Linked DNA regions of Cricetulus griseus. The protein of the gene in region 7 purifies or fractionates together with the protein of the main gene of each other region. This does not show direct contact. Links are inferred from orthologs where the notes say so. Each region holds a gene or a part of one and is shown on either strand. Other genes may lie near its edges. The genes, in order: Pdpk1, Sesn2, Ncoa6, Hdac2, Zzz3, Max and Wdr5.

Region 1 (3,500 bases), on a different chromosome or scaffold from region 7:
ACACTTGAAACTATGACTAAATAAAGGACAGTGTCATATCTGGGCATTTCTTCATGCAAAAAGTTTCATTTTTCTTTCTCAATGCAATGTATAGTGAGGATTCCCAGTGAGGCAAAAGCCACTGGATCTCATTCTCATGGGAGGTAGGTGAGCCATTAAGACCTTCTGGATCTTAGACCAAGAACAGTATGTGCCATTAAACAAAGACCTAGAGTTCTTTCCACCTGAACTGACATGGCCAGTCTCATTTAGAAATCACATAGTAAGGACACTCTGGTCTGGCTTCTGAGCTATGATTCTACCACTGTGACCCTGACAGAAGATGAAGTCAAGCATGTGTAATTCTGTCTTGGCTATCCACAGTCTTGATACAATCTGGTGTCTCCTCGAGGGTGCATGTGACTAGAGGCTTGGTCTCCAGGTGGTAGGACTATGGGGTCAGGGGATCTTTAAGCAGCAGCATGTCTTTGGATCACTGGGCTCCTGAGACTCACTAGTAATTGGAAATTCTTCAAAGAGTGTCATAGCCGGGAGGTGGTGGTATATACCTTTAACCCTGGCAACACAAAGAAACCCTGTCCCCAAAATTTAAGTAAATAAATAATTAATTTTAAGAGGGGGGGATTTCCATGAAAGTAGTAAGTCCAACTACACCTACGTACTCTGCCTCCTGCCTTAAATGATCCTTCCTTCATACATGATCCACCATCTACTATATACCATAAGACTACAGCACCATGCACGCCATTTGGACACTCAGCCTTCTGTGACCTGTGAACTAAACAAATCTCTTCCCTTTAAAGAACTAGCTGCCCCAGACATTTTGTTGCAGTGACACAAAGCTGACTAGTAACAGAGCTTCAAGTCCAACAAAAAGCACTGTGCTAAGGACTGGCAGAAAAGCTCAGGCCTGAGCCTGGACTTCCATGGACTCAAAAGGGGGTACTTTCATGCACAGGGAACATGAAAGTGGAATTAAGGTAGGTTCAGAGAGATATGTAATGAAATATAAAGAGGCCACTGATGACTGTGGGGGACAAGGGATGATAGTGGGAAACAGTAAGCTCTACTTACTCTAAAGACCACCATCATCAACACATTTGTTCTCCTGGAACCTACTGGACCTTCCTATTTAAAAAATAGGAGCTGGAGAGATGGCTCAGTGGTTAAGAACTAGCTGGTCTTCCAGGGGTCCTGAGTTCAATTTCCAGCAACCACGTGGTGGCTCATAACCATCTATAATGAGATCTGGTACCCTCTTCTGGCCTGCAGGCATACATGCAGACAGAACACTGCAAGCATAATAAAATAAATAAATGTTTTTTAAAAATAAAATAAACAAGCCCTCCGGGAAAAGCCCATTTGGTCTGTCTCTACTGACTGCCTCACCTCTGTCATAAACTTTGGCCCCAGGGAAACTGCCGGTCCAACTCTCAACAACTTGTTCATGGGCTAATCCTCTGGCCAGGGACAGGCCACTTACTAGGTTGCCAGGCTGGGCAACTAGGCAGCCCCTCATCAGAAACTATGTGATCTGTGGCCTCTGATCTCCAGGCTCCCAGAGTCTTCTGAGTGCTGGTCAACTGGCTGACAACTCTTATCTGCACATCACCTCCCCGAAGGCTTTGCTAGCAGCCACCCACTGGCTCACTGAGACCTCAGACAAGCACCAGCACATACACCAAATGACACCCTATTCCCATCTAGCCACTGCCCAGTCTCTCCAGGCTCAGTAACAGATGACAGTGTAGACCAGGCTCTGAAGGCAAACACTAGTAGACATCTAACTTTTCTTTCCCCAAGTCTGGACCACAGGCACCAGAATTAGAGCAAACTCCATACCCCTCACTAAGAGAAAATCCAGAATTGGTAGCAGAACTTCACAGCTCAGAAACCTGGCCCACTGAGGAACCCACATGCTTCTGCCTTCATACATCTACAAGGCTCAAAGACCCACACACTCCAGACACCAACACCTGTCCTTCCAACTTATCCTACTACCTGAACATCTGTAACAGTTTTTAATACAAGCTCTCCCAAAGCATAACCAATCCCATGAAGAAGGTAGAGCCTTCCCTTACAGCATTTTGCCCCTCTCCCCGTAAATAAGCTCTAAATGGAGGGGGAGAGCACAAGCAGATGCATCTAGCAGAAGAAGCCAGGGATGTCATTAAAAGTGGAAGCAGATGGAGGGTGTGGTGGTGCATGCTTTTAGTCCAGCACTAAGAAGGCAGAGGCAAAGAGATCTTGGTGGGCTCGAGGGCAATCTTATCTACATAGTGAGTCCCAAGACAGCCAGCAAATGCTATGCAGAGAAACCTTGTCTCGAAATAATAAATAAGTAAATAAAACACAGGAAAAAGAGGAATGTGGGCAGCAACAATGGACATACATGCAAGTGAATCTGCTAGAAAGGCAATTTAAACAGCCCTAAGGAGTTGGAGGGGCTGAGCAAGACCAGCAGTAGACAGAGCTACAAAAGGATAGCACTCTGGGTTCCTGAACTTCTCAAATGCCCAGTCAGGTTGTTCTTCTGACCAAACTCAGTACCTTAGGACAGAAGAAGGTATGGAGAAGTTGATACCAACTCTAGAAACTTGAGGAAGCTCAAAATCATTTTTTCTCTCAAGCCCTCACTTTTCAAAAACAGGAGTCAATAATACCTAACAGACATTCCAAAACATTTGCTAGAGAAATGAGGGGACATTTCTGCATCAATGTCCAGCAATCACAGCTAAAACAAGACTCCATTAGATACATTATTTATCGATAAACACCAACACTGTGGGATGGTTTCCCCTTCGGAGAGGGCACACTGGCAAGAGCCTCAGTCATGTGCTGGTACTGTCTGTTGCCTCCAAGGATATCAGTCCCCATGGGGAATCCATGCTGTGCCCTTTCAAGGAACAAACAATGTAGTCACTAATCTAAAACACAAGGTAGTTTTCAGACAGCACTGACCATGCAAAGGATACACAACTTTTCGTCGTCTTGAAATGTAAAGTAAAGTTTCACAAAGAATGGGTGATCCAGGCGTGACATCACATCTCTCTCTCTAGTTACATACGGGACTTTGTTCTCTTTTATAATATGACGTTTCTCCAGAATTTTAACTTAGAAAATGTGAAAAACAGTAAATTTATAAAAGTAACTGACATAAACTGAAGCTTTCCCAAAATCACCCACTCAAGCTTTCATGGTCTAGAAGACTAACCTTTATCATAGACTGAAATCAGCATAGGCCCTACCACTACCCACACTGCCTGCCATATGTACAAAAGTGGCACTACCCCTGAATCCTAGACACACAGCTCACTGGAGTTAGTACTTACTAGCGTATTCTCTGGAAGTAGCCAGTTCTCGGGCCAGAACAACCTGGTTTGGGGAAAGAAAAAAAACACAGTGTAATAATGAGATGAGTCTAGTAAGTCACTGTCACTCTGCACAGGTTGCCCAATCCATACACACAATTTGAAGTTACATTTAAAGTTACATTGGAT
Region 2 (2,195 bases), on a different chromosome or scaffold from region 7:
TTGGCTGCTCCGGGTGCTGGTCCTGCGTGGGAGGGAGTCAGGTCATGTAGCGGGTGATGGCACGGAGGGCATAGAGCAGGGCTGCTTGCATCCGGGCCTCCAGGAGCAACAAGTTCACGTGAACCTGGGGCACAGAAAGAGGCTTGCTCACAACTGCTCTGCAGCCCTCCCTCCCAGTCTACCAGTTCCCTGGGCACTCACCTCACCCACGCCTCCCACCGAGATGCCCCGACCTGTGCTAAGAAGGCTCTGTGCAATCTGGTGCAGTGACTGCTGAGGAAGCCCCCTGTCGTGACTAAGTACCTTATCTCCCAAGTCTGAAAGAGCTACCATTAGCTGGCTGCAGTGAAGGATCAAATGCTTCCATATATAGTCTCATTGTGCCTTCCCAGCTTTGAAGCCCAGGCAGTGTCTCTTCTCATTATAAAGGGGAAAAGCTCAAAGACGCAAAGTCACATGTCCAAAGGCACAGTGCTCCTATGTGAGAGAAACTGATTTGAACCTATGCCTGCCAAACTGCCACTCAAAGTCTGTGGGAACAGGCCCCCAGGTGCCTTATTTGAATGAAGTCTGAAATCACACAGTGGAATAGGATTTAACCAAGGACAACAGGCCCAGGTTCCCACTGTGATCCTCACTGGGTCCTACTCTCTAGCTCTTCTACAGGCCTGGCTTGGCTGTTTTTCACATCCACATGGCTGTTACCTTCTCTGAGTGGCGGAAGTGCCTCCAGAAGAGGTGGTACATCCTGCGGGTTGTCTTCTCTGGGTAGCAGGCCACGGTCTTGATGTAAATTTTGAGGTTCCTTTCCAGGAGTTGGTTTACCTCCCCATAGTCGTAGTCATCGTATCTGATGGAAAAGACCCGGGCAGCGTTACTCAAGCCCTGATCTCACAAGCAGAGTGGCCCACTCACCCCACCCTACAGAAGGAGGAACAGAGAGTGGCCAGAAAAGCCAGAAGGTAAGAAGCAATCAGAAGCCTGGTTCCTCTCGGAAAACAGCTGACATCATGCGTCATAGGTTACCAGGCTCACAGAGGACTACTCTAAGTAACACTAACAATGAGCACGCACTATTGAATTCTGACTGAGCCGGTGACAATCCTACAAATTACATACTCTGTCATATTCAATATACTGTGTTCATCAATTTCATTTTACTGAGATTCAAAGAAGGCATTCCCTCCACAGCAGGGAATGACTTCAAATCCAGCTCTCCTACACTCACTGTGACAGGAAGGTCAGTGGTGATCCTGGAGAACGAAGCAGTGGTGGGAAAAAGGAGACACAGCTAAAACCAGACAGGCAAGCTAAGGTCTAGCTAGAGAAGGCAATTAACTGCTTCAAAATCCAACAGCAAGTTGGCAATGAGTTTAGAAGCCGCTTGTCTCTCCTCAGTGTAGTTATGCATGTGCATAGGGAAAACCAGGAAGGAAACACCTGAATACAATAAAATAAGGTGACCTCCTGCACAATTTTGGTGGGTTTTTTGGTCTTCTTGTTTTTTTTGTTTTTGTTTTTTTTGTTGCGACAAGGTTTTGACTGTGTAGACCAGGCGGGCCTTGGAACTCCCAGAGATCTGCCTGCTTCTGCCTCCCAAGTGCTAGAATCGGGGCGTGCATCACCACTGCCCAGCAGTTTTGGTGGTTTGTTTGTTTGTTTGTTTTTTGTTTTTTTAATTTTTTAGAGTCCTGTAGTCTAGCTGGTGAACTTGTTATATAGTGAAGGATGACCTTGAACACCTAACTGATCCTCCTGTTTTTGCCTTCCCAGTACTGGAATTACAGGTATTAGTAAAAAACAAGTCAACAAAGAAAGGAAAGCCGGGGCAGGCGGTGGTGGCGCACACCTTTAGTCCCAGCACTCGGGAGGCAGAGGCAGGCGGATCTCTGTGAGTTTGAGACCAGCCTGGTCTACAAGAGCTAGTTCCAGGACAGCCTCGAAAGCCACAGAAAAACCTGGTCTCAGGAACACCCCCCCATCCCTCAAAGGCAAAAGCCTATCCCAGCACACGAAAGACTGAAATAGATAGGCTGCTGTGAGTTCATGGTCAATCTGGACTGTTGTGAAACCCTACCTTAAAAATAAATGAATAAATAGAGTTTTTTATATATCTTAGATAAACCATTTTATTTCGAGGATTCATCAATGAGAACTCGTGTATGAGACTAGTCAGTGCGAATAATGTTTATAAG
Region 3 (4,140 bases), about 120 Mb from region 7:
AGCTTCTGAGGGAACTCAGCTTGTCAGCCTTGATAAACAAGTGCATTTATCTATTAACCAATCTTGCCTGCCTGGGTTTTTTTAATTAAAAAAAATGATTTTAGGGACTGGAGAGGTGACTCAGTAGTTAAGAGCACTGGCCACTCTTCCAGAGGACCCAGGGATTCCCAGAACCCAGATGACAGCTCACAACTCTCTGTAACTCCAATTCCAAGGGACCCAACACCTCTTCTGACCTCCACAGGCCTCAGGCACAAGTGTGTGGTGCACATATATACACGTGTGGAGAACATATGTACATATGTGCTACATACACACACACACACACACACACAGGCAAAAACACTCACATAAAAATAAATAGATCTTTAAAATAATTATTAATAGGTTTCATCATGAGATTTTCATACATGCGTATCACGCTTATAGTTACTTCGCATTACCTCTCCCATCCCTTCTGCCCTCAAATAGTTCTCACTCTGCAGCTTTTATCACACACACACACACACACACACACACACACACACACACCCCTAGATTCTGTCGAATCATTTTTAGTAAGAGAGTGGCACGCTCAGAATTCTGACGGAGGAATATTACTAGCAAGAAAAATAGTGGCGCACGCTGGCGGTGCTGGTAAGGGTGGTACCCATACCAGTCTATGTGCACAGTGTGCACTCAATAAATACCCGTGGAAAGAAAGCGTTTCAGAGTCCTCTCTTAGATGAGACACTATAACTGAGCCGTTAAGAATCCACCTGCCCCAACCGTCCTTACAGAGGAAGAAGCTGAGACACAGAGGTAAAGAAAATCATGAAGCTAAGGGGTGGGAACTGATTTAAGTGACTCTGGGCTCAGCCCAGTGCTAAGAACACTTCCCTGCTTTGGGAAGAGAGGAAGCCAGAGGCCCGCCTCCACCTGTTCACTCACCAGTTCTATTTTGTGAGCACCTACCGTGTTTGTTAGGGTGGTGGGACGAAGTGGGGGGGGGGGAGATAGAATAAAGGTTATCTTTATCGTCAGTCATTAGACGCTTTCCAAGCCTTTCCCTCATTTCCTCTGCGCAAGGAAATACTATCATCCCCATAGCTGGGGAGAGCACACTGAGGCGTGGAGCGTTACGCAGCACACACAGCCAGCCGCTGGGACAGCGCTGAACATGCACGCAGACCAAGATCGCACCCAGCACCTCGGCTCACATGCTCGCTAGCAATCGAGCTCGCGCGCTCCACCTTGCGCGCCAGGGGACGCCCGGTCACGTGGGCAGGGCCCCGCCCCTCGGGCCCGCCCCGCCCCGCCGCGCTCCCTCCCTCTCTCCTTCCTCCCTCCCTCCCCGGCCCGGTCCGGCCCATCCCCCCTCCCCACCGGCTCCCTGAGGCCTGCCGGGTCGGGCTGCGGCGGCCGGGCGCCGACGGCCGGACGGACGGGCGCACGCGAGGACCGGCGGACGGACGCGCCGAGGGCGCCGGGCACGCACGGCCCGGGCCGGCGCTGCGAGGCCCGCCCGGGGCCGGGGCCGCGCTCAGGTGAGGCGACGGCGACGCTGGCCCGTAAGGGGTGGGCCTGCTGAGCGTCCCGGGCCCGGCCCGGCAGGCTTCGTGGGGAGGAGGCCCGCCCGGGCCTGGCGCGCGAAGATGGCGCCGGGCGGCCGTGCAGCTCGGCCCGAGTGCGGCCCGGGCCCGCAGCCGCCCCACCCGCCGCCGCGCTCGTGTCCCCGTCGCCATGTTGGGGAGCGGGCCCGGGGCCTGCGGCGGGCGCGGCGGGAGCGGCGGCGGCGGTGGGGAGTGCGGGTCGGGGCCCGCGGAGTGCAGGCGGCCGGGGTTGCGCGGGCGGCGCTGCGGCCCAGGAGCCGGCTATACCGCGGGCGTGAGGTCCGGGCTGGGGGCGCGGAGAAAAAGACCCCGGGAGCGGACGGGACCGGGGTTGGGGGCGGGGCCGAGGGGGCGGCGGGCCGAGGGGGTGCCGGGCGGTGGAGTTGGGTTAGGCCGTGCGCTGTGAACCGAGCCCCAGAGCAGCAGCCAGGGGTAGGGGAGGCAGCTTGGGGGCCGAGTCCTGGCTGTCAGGGCTGGAGTTGTTCTTTGCGTGCGCTGGAGGAGATTGCTTAGGAATGGGGGTTGCGAACTCGGGGATCAGAGTGGGTCACCGACGCGGGAATCAGCCTGGAAGGGTCCTGGCACTGAATGGCCAGTCTTTATGACTCCCAAGGGTCTCGGGACCTGTGAGCCCTGAGGAGCCTCCAGTCCCGTTGGAGGCAGCAACAGGAAAAGGGAAGAGCTTGATGAGGAAAGAAAGGGTGCCAGGCAGGGGCTGGATGTAGGAGCTGGACAGCAAAAGGTACAGAGTGGAACTGGTAGGAAAGGAGAGAACCTCCATCAACTTAAGGAGTTGTCTTTAAAAGGAGGGACCCGGCTGTTTGGGGGCGGTGACCCAAAGTGTGTTTCCTGGAAGGGGACAGCCGCTGCTTAAAGAGCAGGGTCACCTGGGGAGGTCGTCTGAAAGGTCTTGTTGAAACTAGTCAGAATCGTGAAGAAGGAAAGGACATGTAATAACTACGGTGGCTTTACAGAGATCATGCCATGGTTTCAAATCAAGTAGTGATTTTAGCCAAGGTAATTGATTTCCTAAGATAGTTTGTGTCGGTGACAGAGGCTCCTGGATATGGACTAAGGCTTCCTCATTCAGTTGCTAAGTCAAACTCCATTAAATTATCAGAGTCATTAATTTTTGTTTTAACAAGTTTGTCAGTACAAAGCCTGAGTGGGATACAAAAATGTATAATCAATTATTGGATATTTCCTAGATCTCCATTGATACAAAAAAAAAAGCATCAAGAAAGAACCTCTTTCTAGAGTTTAAAAAAATGTTCCCCCTCGTCTGGATGTTTATTGCACAGCAAAAGAACACAAAAAGCTTAAAAGGGGAAAAAAGGATAATGATAGAGACCTAGGGTCCCCATCATATTCACTTTAATTGAATTTCTGTTATAAATAGGCAATTGAGAGTTCAAATGGACTATGAGATAAATCAGCCAGTGATATATAGTTGACTTTTAATGTCCCTGAGTTTTGCATCTACAGCTTCAACCAATCACCGATTAGAAACATTCATAAAACAAAAAATTGAAACTGTGCTAAACATACAGGGTTTTTTCCTTGTCACTGTTATTTTTTCTTGTTATTATTATTCCCTAAACTAGACAGCTTAACAACTGTTTACATGACATTTACATTTTATTGGCTATTACAGGTAGACAGGATACACAAATATTGTATCACTTTATATAATGATTTTGATATCCTAGGAGGTCCTAGAATCCATTGCCCATGGATATACCAAGGAATGACAGACAATACAAAACTCCACATAATTAAAAAACAAAACAAACTTAGAAGCCAGGCACGGTGGTTCACATCTATATCTCAACACATAGGAGACTGAGGCAGGAGAGTCTGGGCTATAGAGTAAAGGCCCTGCCTCCAGAGGAAAAAAAATAGACTTTCAGGTGTTGGCATTGTAGTTAAATGGTAGAGTGTTTGCCTAGCATACAACATAAGGGCCTTGGTTTTATTCCCAGCACAAAAGGGATGGAGTTTAATCAAAAGAATTTTATAAGGATTTTCAAAACCACATGTATATTCAGTACCAATTTTTCTGAGTCTTTCTAATGCAGAGATCTGATCTTATGTGTGCCATGGTCCCTGTAGCATGGATCTCTCAAAATAATATTTTTAATTGTATAAAGTAAATGACATTGATTACAAAGGAAACTAGTTACATTCAAATAGTTACTAAGTATAAAAATTGTTTATGCTGAAGTATCTGTACACCTATTTGTGAATGTGGTGGTAGGGATTGAACTCAGGGTCTTGCTCAATCTAGGTAAGCCTGCAATACTGAACTATTCCCCCCTTGCAGAGTGTGTGTGTGTGTGTGTGTGTGTGTGTGTGTGTGTGTGTGGAGGAGGTGGAGGAGTAGTACTTATCGAGTTTGTGCATATGCATGGGGAGACCAGAGGTTGACTTTGGTGTCTTCCTTGATTGTTTCTCTACCTTATTATTTTTTTACCTTGACATTTTATTTTCTGTAGTTATTTGTGTGTGGGGCCATGTGTGTGGAATCTGAGGACAACTTGTGGGGATC
Region 4 (3,500 bases), on a different chromosome or scaffold from region 7:
CCCATTCAGAAGATTTCTCTCTTGGAGTACAATGTTCCACGTTCTTGGGTTAGTCCAGTATGTCAAGTATACACGGCTTCCCCAAACACATGTATGACTGTTAGTCTCTGAGGTGAGAAGCACCACTCACCCTTTGGAATCTGTTTTTTCACCACTACTGTCCTTGGATTTGTCTTCTTCCTTAACATCTAAAGACAGAAGGAAAAGATTAAAACCTATTTTGAAATATGAAATATATACGCCTTATCTTAAATTATAAGAAGCTACACTAAACTCACTGCTCCTGAATTGTCACTAGAAAGTGTCCTTAGGCTCTGAGTGAGAGATGCAGGGGCTCACTGTCAGCATGCCCATATGCTTGCACCCTCTTTAACTTCCAGTTCTGAAGCATCACGGTACTGCAGGTACCGTGAAGAACTTCCAACCAGCGTAGAGCACAGGTCAGGAAAGCGGTCTGTCAGAGGAAGGACACTTGGGGTCCCAAGGCATAAACACACTCTCAGTGGGTAAGAGTGAACAGTGTGTGCTGGAGAAAAACTTAAAAGGACTATGAGGCAGAGGCAGTGGTAAGACAGGAGCCGAAGATGAGTGTGTCTGCTGTAAGACACATGATCCTAAAAGCAAGCAGAAGCGAACTCACTGTTTTAAAGTATTTATTTACAGGGTGTGCATGGCATCCACAGGGGGCAGGAGACAGCTTGTAGAAGTCACTATCTTCCTCCCACATTAGATCCCAGGGGTCACATCATGAGGGTGGCAGCAAGTTAAATAACCAGACCAGCCAGACCTACATGGTGAGGCTGCCTCGGATGATTAACAGGTTAACTACCACTTGCATTCATTATCATTGTTAGTATGAGGAAACAAATGCTCAACAGGCTACTTCCCATTCCTTACCTCTGCCTATGGCAGCACAGCAACCAGAGATGTGAACCCTCTAGGGAGGTGCCACAATGGCGTGCACGCTACATTCTGAAATGCATGAAGACAGCAGAAACTGTCCTCCATAGCCCGCACCTAAGCCCCTTCCTACTGTTCCTGTTTTAGTTTCTTTAGTTCCTGAAGAGCCTTCATGTTTAAAGCAACTTTTCAAAGGACAATGAACTTAACTTTTGCTTCACTAAGACAACGTTAAATAGTTTGGAGCAATGTTTGTGACTGCTCTGTTGTTTCCTTTTCCCCATCCCACGACATGTAATGGATCCTCTTTTTTCTTTGTCTGTGTTATCAAGGAGATGAAGTTTCTCTATCACAAAGACAATGCGAGCACATACACTTGAAAACGCTTGAAAAGAATTCTGAAAACATTAAACGACAAGCTTCAGAGGCAAGCATCATTTACTCAAGGGAAAGGTACCTCATGACAGCTCGAGCCCTGACCCTTGTGTGACTATGGGAGCTTCTAAAAGCTACAGTGCAACTCTTAAGCAGTAACAGTGACAATGAAATTTTCACCAAACCACAAACTGACCTGTCTTTTTGTCCTCTGTCTCCTTCTTGTCCTCTTCAATCCTAGCTTTCTTTGCTCCTTTCTTATGATCAGCAACATTCCGACGACCTCCTTCGCCTTCATCCTCAGAATCTGAGAATTCTTCATCACAAGCTATCCGCTTGTCTGATGCACGAACTGATACACACACACACACACACACACACACACACACACACACACACACACACACACACAAATAAATAAATAAATTTGACAATAGCCAGATTCAACAATCATTACATACATCAATACATATATAAGCAGTTACCACATTCAACTCAGCCCACTGAGGAAACGGAATACTTAAGTTTCTGGACTTAGCCATATCTGTGTACTCACACACAATAAGACTGGTATTATTACTTCAGGCTTTGAGACATCAGGAAGCTAAATAAATCTACATGCAATTAAATGGAGGAAAGGACAATCACCACACGTGCTAGGTGAAACACGCCTGTGCACTGCCTTCAGTTTCAAGTCTTATTTTGATGAACCAGAGAAAAGCAAGAATACAGAGCAAGGGCTTCTTACTCGAAATCCGCTTGTCCGGATCTTCTCCATCCTCATCCCCGCTCTCTTCATGAACAGCATCTTCTGGAATCGCTTGCATTTGAACGCCAGGTGCATGTGGCAACATTCGAAGATTTTCAAATAAACGCTGTCTAAATAACACAATTTATTAGACAAAACCACTTTATGTAAAGTTCCTGTGATCCACAGGTAGAAACATTAAACAAAACAACATCATCTTTCATTTAGTTAACTACTTACTGAACAAAACAACATTTAAACAGGAATTCTTTGCACATACTAATTGAATCCACAGATAAAGAGGTGGGCACTAACTAATTCATTCCCCATTTAATGATGAGGCAACAAGTGTACTTGCCCAATATCACACAGCTAGTCTACAGTAAAGATGATCACAACCCATACCGACGTGTCTCTACATTCTGTAGAGATAAAGCTTTAATAAACCGTTTCAGATAATGCAAACAAAGCACCATTTTAAGGGAAAGCAAGAAAGGGTAAAATTTAGTGCCCTTGGCAATTTAAAATTGCACTTGAATAAAAATGTTTGTTTACAAAGGTTCTGCATTTGTGTTGATATAGTAGATTAAAATATTAGTATTCTTAAAGTTTCAAATCCTTTAAAAACCAAGGAAATATCTGATGCATACAGCTAAAATAGCATTCTCTATATGACCTTATGTAGCCTTCTAAACTTGCATTAACATGAGATGAGTTCTTACTTTATCTTTTCCATATATTCTGGAGTGTTCTGGTTTGTCATGTTTGAAGGACTAATATGCAGTTTGAAATCCGGTCCAAAATACTCAAAGTAATCATTATATGGCAACTCTATTAAAAACAATGAAAAACAAGTTACATACTGAAAGCTTAGTTTCCATAGAAGCTAACAAACACTAATCCAGATCCCGATAGAGAAATACTCCCGAAGGAAGGCTTGGAAGTGAAAACACAGGGAATACCCTCATAGACTTGCAATCTAATCATTTATTCATCAGTAAGATTGCACGTTCCAGGCCTCTGGCTGCAATGTCCCATTCATTTATTTCTGCACATCAGATGTTCTAGTAGATACCACAACTTCAACACTTACCATTAGGAATTTCACAATCCAGGGCAACTGCAGTCTCATATGTCCAACACCGAGCAACGTTTCGGATTGTATAGCCACCTCCACCAAGCATCAGCAATGGCAAGTTGAAAGTTTTTACTACTTCTACACATTTAGCATGACCTAAGACCAAGAAATTCATGCTTGTTAAAGAGTAATTTCCCCCACTCTTTATTGTCTTTAGCCTTAATTAAAAAAAAAAAAAAATCCCTTTGAGTGACTTTTGCCTGGTACCAGGATGGTGGCTATGCTCTGTGGATGTACGGATCAAGATTCACAGGACTAGTCTCAAAATAGGCTAATGTAACTGTATAAGAGGGAGAATGCACTCATACAAGAAGTGGTGATGGCCACAAGTTCCAGCTC
Region 5 (4,288 bases), on a different chromosome or scaffold from region 7:
AAACCAACAAAAAGAGCAGCAGGCATGATTATTTGTGCACTCCTGTAATCCCAGCCTTTGGTAGTTCAAGTTCAGCAGCATAGGGAAGTTTGAGGTCAGTCTGGGCTACTGGAAACCCTATCTCAAAGCCACAGGCTAGGTATGCTGGCTCACATGGGTAAGTCTAGCACTCAGGAGTCAGAGACAGGTGGATTTCTGTGAGTTAGATTAGCCTGGGCTACATAGGGAGACCCTGTCTCAACAAAACAAAAACCAGCAAAATACTATAGCATTTACAGTGACAAAAAAAATCTTACGTGCATTAAAATAAGTATAGCAGGCATTGAATCATTGTAATACTTACTTAGATTCTGTTGGCTATACCTAAGTAGGCAGCACATCACCTTTAACAGTAATCTGTTCATTTTTTACTAGATAGAATGCTGGGTTAAAGAGTTGATGATTACACCAGCCCTTAATTTATAATACCCCACTTAAATAGTATCCATTTAAAAATACCTAGTTTAATGCTTAGAAAAAAGGAGCAAGGTTAATGATAAGCGTCTGCTTGTCTTTCTTGTAGTGCTGTTATTGCAGATGGCCACTCCTAATAACCCAGGTAGCTAGAGTATATAGTTTCCAAAAAAGATGCCATACCATGCTGGTAAAACTGCAGTTAGCTATAAACATGCCAAGAATTAGCATGTAATTAAGTTAATTAAAATACCAGACTGAGTATTTAGCTCCGAAAACATTATTGATTCTTTGTGGATTTCACATCACACATATGAATCCCATTCATCTCACTATTGCTTTTTTCTCGTTGAGAGTCTATATGGCTGGGCGTGGTAGTGCACACCTTTAATCCCCTCGCTTGGAAGGTCACTGAGTTTAAAGTCAGCTTGATTATACAGTTAGTTCTAGGACAGCCAGGGCTGCGTAGGGAGACCTTGTCTCAAAAACAAAAAACCACGAAGGGGGTGGGTGGAGAGGAGAGAGACAGAGAGGGAGGGAGGAGGAGGAAAAAAAAATACATGTGGCAGAAAGCACCAGAAGCTTCAAGGGCAGCTGAGTCTTCAGTGTGTCATGTGTGCTGTGATACAGAGGAGTTAAGCTGTGTGCTTAGTCTGCTGGTTGTTGTTAGGCCCTAGGTTTTGTACTCAGTTTTAAATCTAGGAAATCCTTCAGAAATCCTCTAGGTCATCTTTAAGCCAGGGAGGGGCTGGGGGACTTAGATTACAGCAAGTTGCAAGAAAGGGCTGAGTCATGTTTTACTCAAGTTAATAACTGAGTTGTTTGTAAGGATTTGTTATATTTCAAGTTTCTTCATTTCTGTCCTGGTTGCTTAGTGCCCCTGAGACCACTTAGCAGGAAGCACCAAAACATCCCTGTGAAGACACTGTGTGCTTCTGTAATCAGAGTAAATTACTAGCTGAGTTAATTTCCTTATTTAATATTTTTTTTTGTTGTTGTTTTTGTTTTTTTGTTTTTACCATTTTAAAGAGAGGCGGTTAAGAGTTTCTATAGTCTCCGAGGCTGAAGCTGAGAGCCTGAAGCTTAAGCTCTGTTGTAGATCATAGCTTCATCTCCTTGCGGATATAAGAAAAGAAAGACTATTTCCACAATGATAGATCTCTGGTTACACAGGTAAGTTACTCAACTGTGCAGCAGAGATGACAACGGTAGTTTGATTTTGTTTACTTGGGTGGGAGGAGACATGTTATTTTCCGTCTTTCTTCTTCTGCCTTGCTGTTTTATGGTGATCTCAAGCTGTAGGAGATGGGCTGAAGATTAAATACGTTTCCATTTCTTTCTTCTCAACAAATGGATGAAGGAAATGACTGTTGGTATCTTTAGACCATTAAACCTGTCTTTGCCTTAAACGTGTTTAAGGGGCATGTGACCCCTCTTTCACTTCTTCTCAGTTGTCTTCAGTGTGCATTCATTTGAATCTGTCCTGTCTGTCTTTCTATATAGCTCTCTGTCTGTTTGTCAGTCATCTCTTGTATCTCTCTTGATGACAAAGGAGATCCTTTACATATAACTGCATGATAGAATTCTAGACTTCTGATCTGGGACTGTTAACCTTTCAATAATCCAGTGGATAAGGTCAGGCGTTGTTCTGTTACACTAGATTGATAATTGTACAGTTGAAATAATCTGTCTTTTAAAAGAGTTGTATGACTAGCTGTGTGACAATGCGCACCTGTAATCCCACCATCAGGGATGCGGGAGAGAGTTTTAGGGCCAGGCCATCCAGGGCTGCATAGTAAGACCCTGTCTCAAAAGACATCTCAGAGACTTGTATGATAAACTAAGCCTGAGCACAGCTTATGCTATAGACAGGTAGGAAAGTCATATTGGTGACACCTCTCAGTTACTCTGACATGGTTTTGCCTTTGATTTTGGTCTTTACACCTGAAAATATATGGGTATTGTGACCAGTTTTCTTGAAGCTGTTCACTTAGTAAAACTGATACGATGATAATAATACTGGTGTTAGTCAGGCGTTGGTGGTGCACACCTTTAATCCTAGCACTTGGGAGGCAGAGGCAGGAGGATCTCTGTGAGTTCAACATCAGCCTGGTCTACAGAGCACATTCCAGGACAGGCTTCAAAGCTACACAGAGAAACCCTGTCTCCCCCTCCCCCCCAACAACAAAAAACGGTGTTAGCTGAGCATGGTGGCGCATGCCTTTAATCCCAGCACTCCAGAGGCAGAGGCAGGATCTCTGTGAGCAGGAGGCCAGCCTGGTCTACATAGTGAGTTCCAGGGCTACATATCAAGACTCTGTCTCAAAAATACAAAACAAAAACCCCAAAATATAAAAATAATATAATACTGATATTAGTTACCAACTCCTCAATTCCTAAAGTAAACTGGGACACTTTTGGTGAGTAGAAAAGGAGCCAGAGATTACAGGTACTGGATTAGAGATAGCCTTTGAGTAAAAATGCAGCGGCATCGTGCATTGTTTCTAGTGGGTGGGCCTTTGTCTGTCCTGTTTCTTTTGGTTCTGATTGAGTTGTGTGGGTGTGGTCACGGGTTAGAGGTTTATGATAATGTTTCAGGACTTTACAGGTTTATAAAGGTAGATTCCAGTTTAGGGGAAGGTGGTTCAGTGGAAGGGCTGATAAGAGTTTGGATGTATGGATTGAGGGCAGCTTGGGAACTCTGTGGACAAGCTGAAGAAGTTTGGTTGGTTGGCCCTTTTCATTCTGTAAGAAGACTTAGGAGGATGGAGAATGCAGGACAAAGTGTGCTTAATTCTAGTGAGGTTCATACTCTCACTGTCCCCCAGAAACACTGCTGCTCAGTAATTGGTGGGTAGCATAGGACAGCATCAGTCTCATTACTAAAATGTGAACTCAGGGTTTCCCTTAATTCTAAGTGTCTTTTACCAAATGGGTGTGGCTAAGGCTGTCACCAGTTGTCTCTTATTTTAGTTTATCAGTAAAGGTATCCTGGGCTAGTTGGCAAATAAATGGGTTCCATTCTATTGCCGTAACTACTTCATGTTTGGCAAGCATACAATTATATGCCCAAACCTCACTGGATTTTTTAGTGACTTTGTATTTAGTTAAAATGAAGAAAATAACAGCTTTAGTTTGTACTTCTTTGCTAAATAAATAAGCTTGGTACAACAATATTGAAATTTGGTTGGAATAATGTAGACATACTTCATTAAAAGTCCCTTATTGATGAATGGCTTTATATTCAGTTTATCTTATATAATTGTTAAACATACGTATACTTCATGTATGCTTATGCAAAAATAGGAAAAAGGAAGAAAATACGTAACAAAGATTTGTTGTACTTGGCCTTCATACTTTGATTAGGTTTTTACTTTACGTGTATTAAGATAATTTTATAAACTGCTGTTTGGTGCTTCTTTAGCCGAAGTGATCATGATCTGATTTATAATGTGTTGTTTTAATCATTATGATTTAATAAAATATTAAGGAGAATTATGTATCTAATTTGGTTTGCAACTTGGTGATTGAATTATTAGGCCACTGCCTTGAGTGCAGAGATACCAGCGTTTCCCAGACGCCAGCATGGATGAATGGGTTGCATAGGGCCTTATACTCTGCAGTTCTTTCTTCCTTCTTGTCTTTTTCCCCTTCCGTTCTAAGTGTCAAAACACAGACCTGGGTTTCTAGCAAGCTCAGGATGTGGGCTCTCAGGCCATGCAAGTTACAACAGATTGAAATACCAGGAAACACTTGCTGTAAAATGTGCTCCTTGTTAGTCTTCCAGCATGTCTACAGTTTTAGTCCTTTCCCAATGATCACAGCCCAGTAGTTG
Region 6 (4,050 bases), on a different chromosome or scaffold from region 7:
CAGTGCTAGGGATGAACCAGGGCCTACTGAAAGTTAAGTGTCCTAAGGAGCTAAATTCCCAAGCGAGAGAGAGAGACAAAGGTAGAGAGCTCTTGTTTGTTTGAGACAGAATCTCATTCTGTAGCTCAGGCCAGCCTCTAAACCAGGGCAACCCTCTGCCAAAGCCTCCTAAGCACTGGGCCTACAGAACTGGATACAACCGTGGACTCTTTTTTTTTTTTTTTTTTGGTATGTTAAGGCTGGGCCTCAATAAATTGCTGAAAACAGGCCTGAACTTCTGATCTTCCTACCTCGGCATCCCGAGTAAGGGCGTTCACGGGACTGGGCAACCAAGCCTAGTTGCATCCAGCTAATTCTCTATAAGCCCCCAAACAGCTGTTCCACATATCATTTAAAAATCAAATAGCTTCGTGGGTAAAGTTGTTGAGGCCAAACCTGATGATCCTAAGTTCAACCCCAGACCCACATGCTGGAAGGAGAAACCCCACTCCCTCAAGTTGTCCTCTGACCGTTACATGTGAGCCATGGCATGCACACAATCACAAACACACATTAAATAAGTGAATGTAACCTTAAAAAATCAATTGAGTAGGCTGAGGTTATAGCCAGGCCCCGGGCATGCCGAGGGCCCTGGGTTCAAGTCCCAGAATAGCCAAAAACTACACGCAAATACACTGGAAAAATAATAATCTGTTTCTAGCATTTTAACATTTCTCTTAAAGTAGGAAAATCGAGGGAGTGTGGCTCAGTGGTAAAGGGTCTAACCCCAGCCCTGAAATAACAATAAGACCTAGCAACACTGAGCTCACTCTCATACAGCAAGCACCAGAGCTAGGTGGCTTCGGACTTTCTACAAGGGGCATGCATTCCTCAGTATCCCAGTCCTTACCTCTCCCTCTATCCTTGACTACCTCATTACCTAATCCCCACAGGCAAAGGCATTATGGCCCTCCCTGTACACCCTTTTCACCATTGCCAACTATCAAATATAACACTTGTCGTCTCTCTTCTGATCTGGATGTATTCTCAGTCTTCTTCCCTCTCCCTAATCTATACCCATTTACTACTAAGTCTCAGACTCTAAAGACAAGAGCTCATGGTGTCAACCCAAATCCACCAGAGAGACACCTACAAAAAGCTTTAACATCAAAACCCTAAGAAGTTACTGGTAACACTGTATGGACTCATCCGGACACCTTTTAGCGTAGCTGTCTCCTACAATGCCACTTTTCAACCTTTTTTTTTTTTTTTCTTCTCAAATGGAAAGTCAGACCACAAGAAGCTGTGACACTTTCAAGATTTAACTTCTGGCTCCTCCCTGTTTCTATTTTGTTGTTGTTGCTATTGTTGAGAATAGCATGCTTTTCTAGTTTTAAGAGTCTGTGGTGGCAGTCATGTGACTTTGGCTAAAGGCGATTATTACTGTGCTTGCAGCTTCACACAACTGTGCAGATAGTGCTTAAAGCTTACTTGCTCCTAAGTAAACCTGACCTGTAAGTCTGCTCTGAAATAACACTACCCTTCACTTCTCACGTGCCTGGGCTGCATCCTTAACTGAACACTCCAGAACAACTCAGTTTTAGCATGGGGCTCGCTCTCTCACTCACCTACCTACTCACTAGGATCTACCACCTGAGAAGCCAGAATCATAGGATTTGCAGCCCCCCACCCCCCCACCTCCAACCCCAGCTGACTCCACCTCACCTTAGCGGTTAAGAGGAGAGTTTACAAGAATATTAAAAAATAAAGAACGATCACTTTTTCTCTCTGACTCCAAAAAGGACCAAAACTGAACGGAAATGAAAATGAAATGGAGAGTAGGAGACGTACCGCAGATTGAAACCTCGGTTGCTCTTCCTGGAATAAGAGAGAAAAAAAAATAGAAAATATAGAAGTTATTTTTACACTTCGAATTCAATAATAAGAAAGAAAATGCCGGCGGCGGAGGAAGCAGCGGGTGGGGAGTCAGCCCGACACCCCTCCCTCCCTCTTTCCCCTCCACTCTCTCCAGCGGGATCCCGCAGCCTGGTGGGGGTCCCAGGCGCCGCCCCTCTTTCTGGCATCCGAACCGGACAAGAGGGGTCCGGAGCACACTGCTCTCCCCGGACCCCCCTCGGGAGTCAGAGCACTCACTCCCAGTCCCCTCACCCCCAGGATCAACGGGTCCACGGGTAAAAGGAGATCGTGGACCCAAGAAGCAGGTCCTGAGCGCTGGTCTCCTTGCCCAGGATCCGGACGGATAATGGGATCCCCAGCCGGATAGAGTGGAGAGGGAGGCCTCGGCACCCTCCTCCACGGGAGGAGGTGGGGGTCCCAGAGGCCGCGTGTCTGCTCCCACCTTCAGTCCCAGGAGGCCTCTCCGGACAGGACTGGAGGGGAGCGAGCGCGGAGCGCGACGCAGGCGGTCCCGGCCCCGGGGGAAGGGGACGGAGGCGGCGGCGACCCGGCCCCCTCCCGCCGTCGCCCCGCTGAGGGCCCCGGCCGCTGTCCCCGCCTGACAACCCGAACGGAAAGGAAGAAGCCCCGGGACTCACGTCGCTCTCCACCTCGATGTCATCGTTATCGCTCATTTCCTACGGCCCAGGGAGCGGCCACTGCAGCGGCGGCCGGGGAGGGGAGGGGTGGAGGGAAGGGGGAAGTCACCGACAACAACAAGCCGAGTGCCCCCACGCACACACTCACTCACTCACTCACTCACTCACACACACTCACACACACACAACACGGGCGACAACCACCTCACTGCAGCACCCGATCAACGGCGGCACGCACGCCCGGTCGGCCCCCTGACACGTGACCGGACTCTCCGCGCCGGGAGAGCCGAGACTTGTAGTCCTCGAGCGTCTGATGGGCAGGTCGGAGAGCGCCGGAGAAACTACAAATCCCATCAGGAAGCGCACACAATCTTCACCAGCCCCGCTTGTTGACAGAGCGCAGGGCGCGTGCGCGCCGGTGGTGGGTGCGAGAAGTGGCGCGGTGCCTCCCGGGAGATGTAGTCCACAGACCGCGAGTTGTCAGGAGATTTTCCTCCCCAAGCGGCGGAGAGGCTGCTGGGAAGACAGGACACGTGGAGGGAGCTGGGCTTCTGGAGCCGGCCACAGTCTGAGCTCTGGGCGCCTGGCCCAAGGGATTGGGTGGAGGCTCAGGGGGAGAAGCTAGCTGCCAAAATAACACTGTCTCTTCTTGGCTAGACTGCTTTTACATTGTCTTGTTTAACGCTTGAGTCGCTCCACTTGCGCCCTGGGGCGTAACCCTCACGGGAAGGAATCAAGCTGCTGCTGGCCAGGGGGCGCGGTCGGGATGCCCACGCGGACCCTCGGGATCTAGTTTGGGGGAGTTAAGAGGCGATACAGGACAAGCTAAAGGACCTGCCTCGCCGGGGTACACTTAGTCCCAAGAATTTTGCTTTCATTTGTCCGAGAGGACCGTCCTTACTCGGCTTGAATGTTTACAAAATCTCGCTTAGGTGGAAGTAAATAAAACCCAACTGTTTGTCGTAGCCCATGCAGATGAAGGAGTGCCCCAGTGCGGGAGAACCTTAATTAAGAACTGCAGAAAGAATAAAAACGGGAAAGTTGTGCGGCTCCCTGTCCAACCAAAGTCATATTTATACACCGAGGTATGAAGCATGACTACATCCCACCAGTATTTATTATCTAATGTGGCAGAACAGGCATGCCGTGATGGGTACGACTGAACAGGGCCCCTCAAAGATCTCACAGCTTGTGGAAGCGAAAACCGGACTACCCTGCCACCATTTTCAGTGTGCACCAGGTCCTTCCTTGATGAAAGAAAAATAATAAAGGCACCTTCTATCACCAGAGAAATTAACCAAACTGGTTAATTTACAACTGGTTTCCAAAATGAATGAAGTCTTGGGTTTGGGCTATGAGTTACTGATTCCTGAGTGAAAACAGTTTTGTTTTGTTTTGTTTTGTTTTACATTTTATCTATCTATCTATCTATTTATTTATTACGTATACAACATTCTGCTTCCATGTATATCTGCACATCAGAATAGGGCACTGGACCTCATAACAGATGGTTGTG
Region 7 (3,500 bases):
ATTTTCAAAAAGAGAATGTATTTTTACATAAATCTACAACAGAGTTCAACTGTAGAAAAAATAAACTATACTTGGGGATACTGCGCTTAGCATGGCAAGCAAGCTCCCTCCCTGAGGAGGGGGCCCACATACCAGGCCACAGCTGGAAGGACCTCAACACCCCTCCAGAAACCCCACAGCAACATGCCCACAACGCTGACCAGAACCCAGGCACATCTATCCAAAAGATGCCAGGGGCCCCAGAACCCACATGTCAGTGACAAGCCACCCTCTTTAACCCCATGTGCACACCATCTCCCCAAGAGAGGGGACAGGAGTCTGCAGGAGTTACCTTTTCCAACCCCTTTTAGGATTCTTATCTTGTCACGCTGGAGTGGCCAACACATGGCTGTCAGTACCATGGGCGGAGGACAGGCCCTCAGCAAAGAAAGCAGAACAGCCACAGACCTCGATGACCTGGCTTCATATGGATTTGTTGGCTACCCAGGCTGCAGCAGCCAGAGCAAGCCCAGAACCTCTCTGCAGCCTTCTGCTGTCCCTGCCTGTACAGAAGCCTCACCCACCCATCCTCTGCATTCTGTTCCATGTCAGGCCACCCTGGGTATGGCCAGCAATTGTGAAAATGCTGTGCAGCTCTGAGTCTGGCCATCATCTCTTCCCAGTTCTGGTCATGCAGAAGCCAGGACGCCAGAGGATCCATTTGAGGCAGAGACTAAGAGAGGCTGGTGGGTTTAGAGGTCAAGGCAGGAGGCTGTACCTGCTGGGACAAGCACCATATTGAACCCCTCCCTCCTGCACAGGTGACCCCGAGCCTCACGAAGAATGGGGAGGACCAGAACCTCCCTAACATGATGCTTGTCCAAGATTTCCACTCTTTTTCAACTGAGTTTTCCTCTCAAAACACTCAGTGCCCAGAGCAGCTATTGGGAAAGAGGCATAGCAAGGACCCATCTTCCCAGAGACGTTTCCAGCCCCTGCTCTGGGGGGAACTTTCTAAAATCCAGGTGCGGATGAGCTCCTATCAGAGCTCAGGGCCACAGAGGGGTCAAGCCCACCTTTTATTACAGTGTATATAGCTTACTGAGTGACACCAGTGAGACAAAGGGACACTGTGCAACCACTGAGAGGTCAGTGTTGACCTATGAACTCCAAAAATACAAAGGGACTTGACACGGATACAACTTACAACCTTTCTGTTTCCAGAAAGTCCTGGAAACACACTGGATACTATTACAGGTAGGGAACATGAACAAGCAGGCCAAGGCTGGAGGCAGGGAACAGGAGTGGGGCTGCAGGTCCTGCTCCAGTGTGTGTACTGGGCAATACAATACCAAAAAGATACAGAACAATTACTGGGAAAAATGATGAGTTGAACTCACTCTTGTAATAAAAAATTAAAAATTTGCTGCCTCTGAGCACAGACCAGGAACTCCCCAGGCAGGGACAGAATTGGCAAGAAATGTCACAGTGGCTATAAAAACTTGGTAGTGTGCACTCCCCTGACCTGACATCTTCAGGGAGTAGGTGCACCAGACCTGTTACCCCAGTCTGGCCCCACACCTCTGCCCCTCGTGTGTTTCTTGCCAATCCAGGCGGTTTCCTGAAGTCTCTTGTGGAGCCAGGACTTAGCAGTCACTCTTCCACAGTTTGATTGTTTTGTCATTCTCTAGTGCTGCTGAGGCAATGATGTTCTCTGTCGGGTGACATGCCGTGGAAATCACAACATCTGAAAGAGAGTCAGTTAGGTGCTACTCCAGGATAAGCAGTGGCAGCACAGGCCTGGCTGGCCTCAGAAGTACAGGGAGCAACACAGGCTTTGGGGGGAGTGCTCAGAATGCCAGGAACAGCAACAAGCACCACAGCCTATGTCTGCTGGGCTCAGGAAATTTGGTGGGTGCCCAGCAGGGTCCTCATTCTTGTCTACATGCCCTCCTCACTGGCCCCAAGCTGACTATTCTCACTGCCTCCTACTACCCAACACAACATTCATGAGGTTGCTCTCCCTGAGCAAGAGGTAACCATACAGCCGCAGGGATACTGGCATTAATGAGATGGCATGAAGTCCACTAACTCTGCTTGTTCCCTGGGTGCTCAGGAACCAAGCTACTCCCAGATGAAGGCAACTGTTGTCAGAACCAGGTACTGGACTCTTTCAAGGCTGAGCTCTGCCCGAGAGATGGAAAACCAGCATCCCTCAAAGGGGCTGGAGCCTCCAGGAAACGCAGCTCACCATGTAGGTTACAAACTTTCCATATTCACTTTTGGGTCCCATTGCCAGCAGCTGTCAGGCCCCAGATACTTGGCCTCCAGTGAGGAAAATAAGCTATACTCCCAGAAGGCCTGGGTCTGAGCCAACACCTATAACCAACCAGTCCCAGAACCCCAGACAAGAGCCCTTGATGCTGCTTCCAAGCCAGTCACATGCCCTCTCAGGCCTGCAGGGCTAGGATGGCAGACAAAACAGAGTAGCAACAGCTGCCTGTGTGCCCCTAAATCACAAGACAACCAAGCACTTGGAGGACTGAGAGGCTCCCCTGGGTGGTTCCACCCACCCATATGGCCCATCTCCAGATGACTGCCCACCTGTGTGACCCTGCAACTTCTGCACAATCTCCTTGGTCTGCAGATTCCAAATATACACCAGGTTATCTTCAGAACCAGACACGATCCACTGCAGTAGCACAGCAGGCAGCCAGTGAGGATAGGCAAGACAGAAGGAAGTTATGTGCTGAGTAGGTAACAATAGGCAAGCTGCCTGGTATCACTCTAACCCCTCATTCCCCCAACCTGGGGACATGCCAAATGCCTCCCATGCCACCCCTCAGTGAGTCTAAGTTTCTATCCAGTCACCACCTGCTCTTAGATCTTCAACCATATTCAAGTGCAAGACACCACAGTTCCATCCAGAAGGGCATATATGGGTTTGTTCCATAGGCTCAGGAAAGCTTCACAAAGACATGAAGGCACCTGTGATGGGTGGCCTCTCAGGAGAGAGCTGGCAGGGTTATAGCAGCTCAGTGCAAGACTCACCTTCCCTGCCTGGTGTTGGTGGCACACGCCTTTAATCCTAGCACTTGGGAAGCAGAGGCAGTTGGATCTCTGTGAGTTCAAGGCCAGCCTGGTCTACAGAGCAAGTGCCAGGACAGCCTCCAAAGCTACACAGAGAAACCCTGTCTCAAAACACAAAAACAAAGACAAAGACTCACCTTCCCACCTGTCACAGAGAAATTGGCAAATATGCAGTACTTCTCGTTCTTGTGGCCAGTGTATGTCTTCAGGCACTGAAAAGGTAGGCATGCATTGTTAGCACCTGTGCTTCTCTCTCACTCCAGAGGGTTCCATGGTCTGAGCACATACATCTGACCAGAGCCTAAACATATTCTGAACGACACATACAAGGGCAAAGCCCAGAGGCAGACTAGCCATTTATAAACCCACATCTTTAAAGGGAATTGTACCAAACTTGTGTATCAAAAGACTTAAGTCTTCTTTTGAAGGCT

The links.
Region 1: the proteins of Wdr5 (region 7) and Pdpk1 purify together in Homo sapiens (affinity purification with mass spectrometry; 4 studies listed by BioGRID and IntAct, counting the BioPlex papers as one, with this or other methods). This does not show direct contact. The link is inferred for Cricetulus griseus from reciprocal best matches to the Homo sapiens genes WDR5 and PDPK1.
Region 2: the proteins of Wdr5 (region 7) and Sesn2 purify together in Homo sapiens (affinity purification with mass spectrometry; 3 studies listed by BioGRID and IntAct, counting the BioPlex papers as one, with this or other methods). This does not show direct contact. The link is inferred for Cricetulus griseus from reciprocal best matches to the Homo sapiens genes WDR5 and SESN2.
Region 3: the proteins of Wdr5 (region 7) and Ncoa6 purify together in Homo sapiens (co-immunoprecipitation; 10 studies listed by BioGRID and IntAct, counting the BioPlex papers as one, with this or other methods). This does not show direct contact. The link is inferred for Cricetulus griseus from reciprocal best matches to the Homo sapiens genes WDR5 and NCOA6.
Region 4: the proteins of Wdr5 (region 7) and Hdac2 purify together in Homo sapiens (affinity purification with mass spectrometry; 7 studies listed by BioGRID and IntAct, with this or other methods). This does not show direct contact. The link is inferred for Cricetulus griseus from reciprocal best matches to the Homo sapiens genes WDR5 and HDAC2.
Region 5: the proteins of Wdr5 (region 7) and Zzz3 purify together in Homo sapiens (affinity purification with mass spectrometry; 5 studies listed by BioGRID and IntAct, counting the BioPlex papers as one, with this or other methods). This does not show direct contact. The link is inferred for Cricetulus griseus from reciprocal best matches to the Homo sapiens genes WDR5 and ZZZ3.
Region 6: the proteins of Wdr5 (region 7) and Max purify together in Homo sapiens (affinity purification with mass spectrometry; 4 studies listed by BioGRID and IntAct, with this or other methods). This does not show direct contact. The link is inferred for Cricetulus griseus from reciprocal best matches to the Homo sapiens genes WDR5 and MAX.

Annotation. Positions count from the first base shown.
Region 1 is NC_048600.1:43,647,790-43,651,289, forward strand, and holds part of Pdpk1 (3-phosphoinositide-dependent protein kinase 1), read right to left. Parts: intron 3,376-3,500; coding exon 3,333-3,375; intron 3,114-3,332; coding exon 2,976-3,113; intron 1-2,975. UniProt on the Homo sapiens protein: Serine/threonine kinase which acts as a master kinase, phosphorylating and activating a subgroup of the AGC family of protein kinases.
Region 2 is NC_048595.1:20,769,768-20,771,962, reverse strand, and holds part of Sesn2 (sestrin-2), read right to left. Parts: intron 851-2,195; coding exon 706-850; intron 125-705; coding exon 38-124; 3' UTR 1-37. UniProt on the Homo sapiens protein: Functions as an intracellular leucine sensor that negatively regulates the mTORC1 signaling pathway through the GATOR complex. In absence of leucine, binds the GATOR subcomplex GATOR2 and prevents mTORC1 signaling.
Region 3 is NC_048599.1:24,164,141-24,168,280, forward strand, and holds the start of Ncoa6 (nuclear receptor coactivator 6), read left to right. Parts: upstream 1-1,340; 5' UTR 1,341-1,526; intron 1,527-4,140. UniProt on the Homo sapiens protein: Nuclear receptor coactivator that directly binds nuclear receptors and stimulates the transcriptional activities in a hormone-dependent fashion. Coactivates expression in an agonist- and AF2-dependent manner.
Region 4 is NC_048595.1:259,859,414-259,862,913, reverse strand, and holds part of Hdac2 (histone deacetylase 2), read right to left. Parts: intron 3,258-3,500; coding exon 3,117-3,257; intron 2,855-3,116; coding exon 2,746-2,854; intron 2,155-2,745; coding exon 2,024-2,154; intron 1,628-2,023; coding exon 1,472-1,627; intron 189-1,471; coding exon 131-188; intron 1-130. UniProt on the Homo sapiens protein: Histone deacetylase that catalyzes the deacetylation of lysine residues on the N-terminal part of the core histones (H2A, H2B, H3 and H4).
Region 5 is NW_023276806.1:6,917,287-6,921,574, reverse strand, and holds the start of Zzz3 (ZZ-type zinc finger-containing protein 3), read left to right. Parts: upstream 1-1,488; 5' UTR 1,489-1,603; coding exon of another isoform or gene 1,604-1,626; intron 1,627-4,288.
Region 6 is NC_048598.1:126,561,541-126,565,590, reverse strand, and holds the start of Max (protein max), read right to left. Parts: upstream 2,801-4,050; 5' UTR 2,571-2,800; coding exon 2,535-2,570; intron 1,858-2,534; coding exon 1,831-1,857; intron 1-1,830. UniProt on the Homo sapiens protein: Transcription regulator. Forms a sequence-specific DNA-binding protein complex with MYC or MAD which recognizes the core sequence 5'-CAC[GA]TG-3'. The MYC:MAX complex is a transcriptional activator, whereas the MAD:MAX complex is a repressor.
Region 7 is NC_048599.1:139,212,473-139,215,972, reverse strand, and holds part of Wdr5 (WD repeat-containing protein 5), read right to left. Parts: intron 3,282-3,500; coding exon 3,207-3,281; intron 2,672-3,206; coding exon 2,584-2,671; intron 1,727-2,583; coding exon 1,626-1,726; 3' UTR 1-1,625.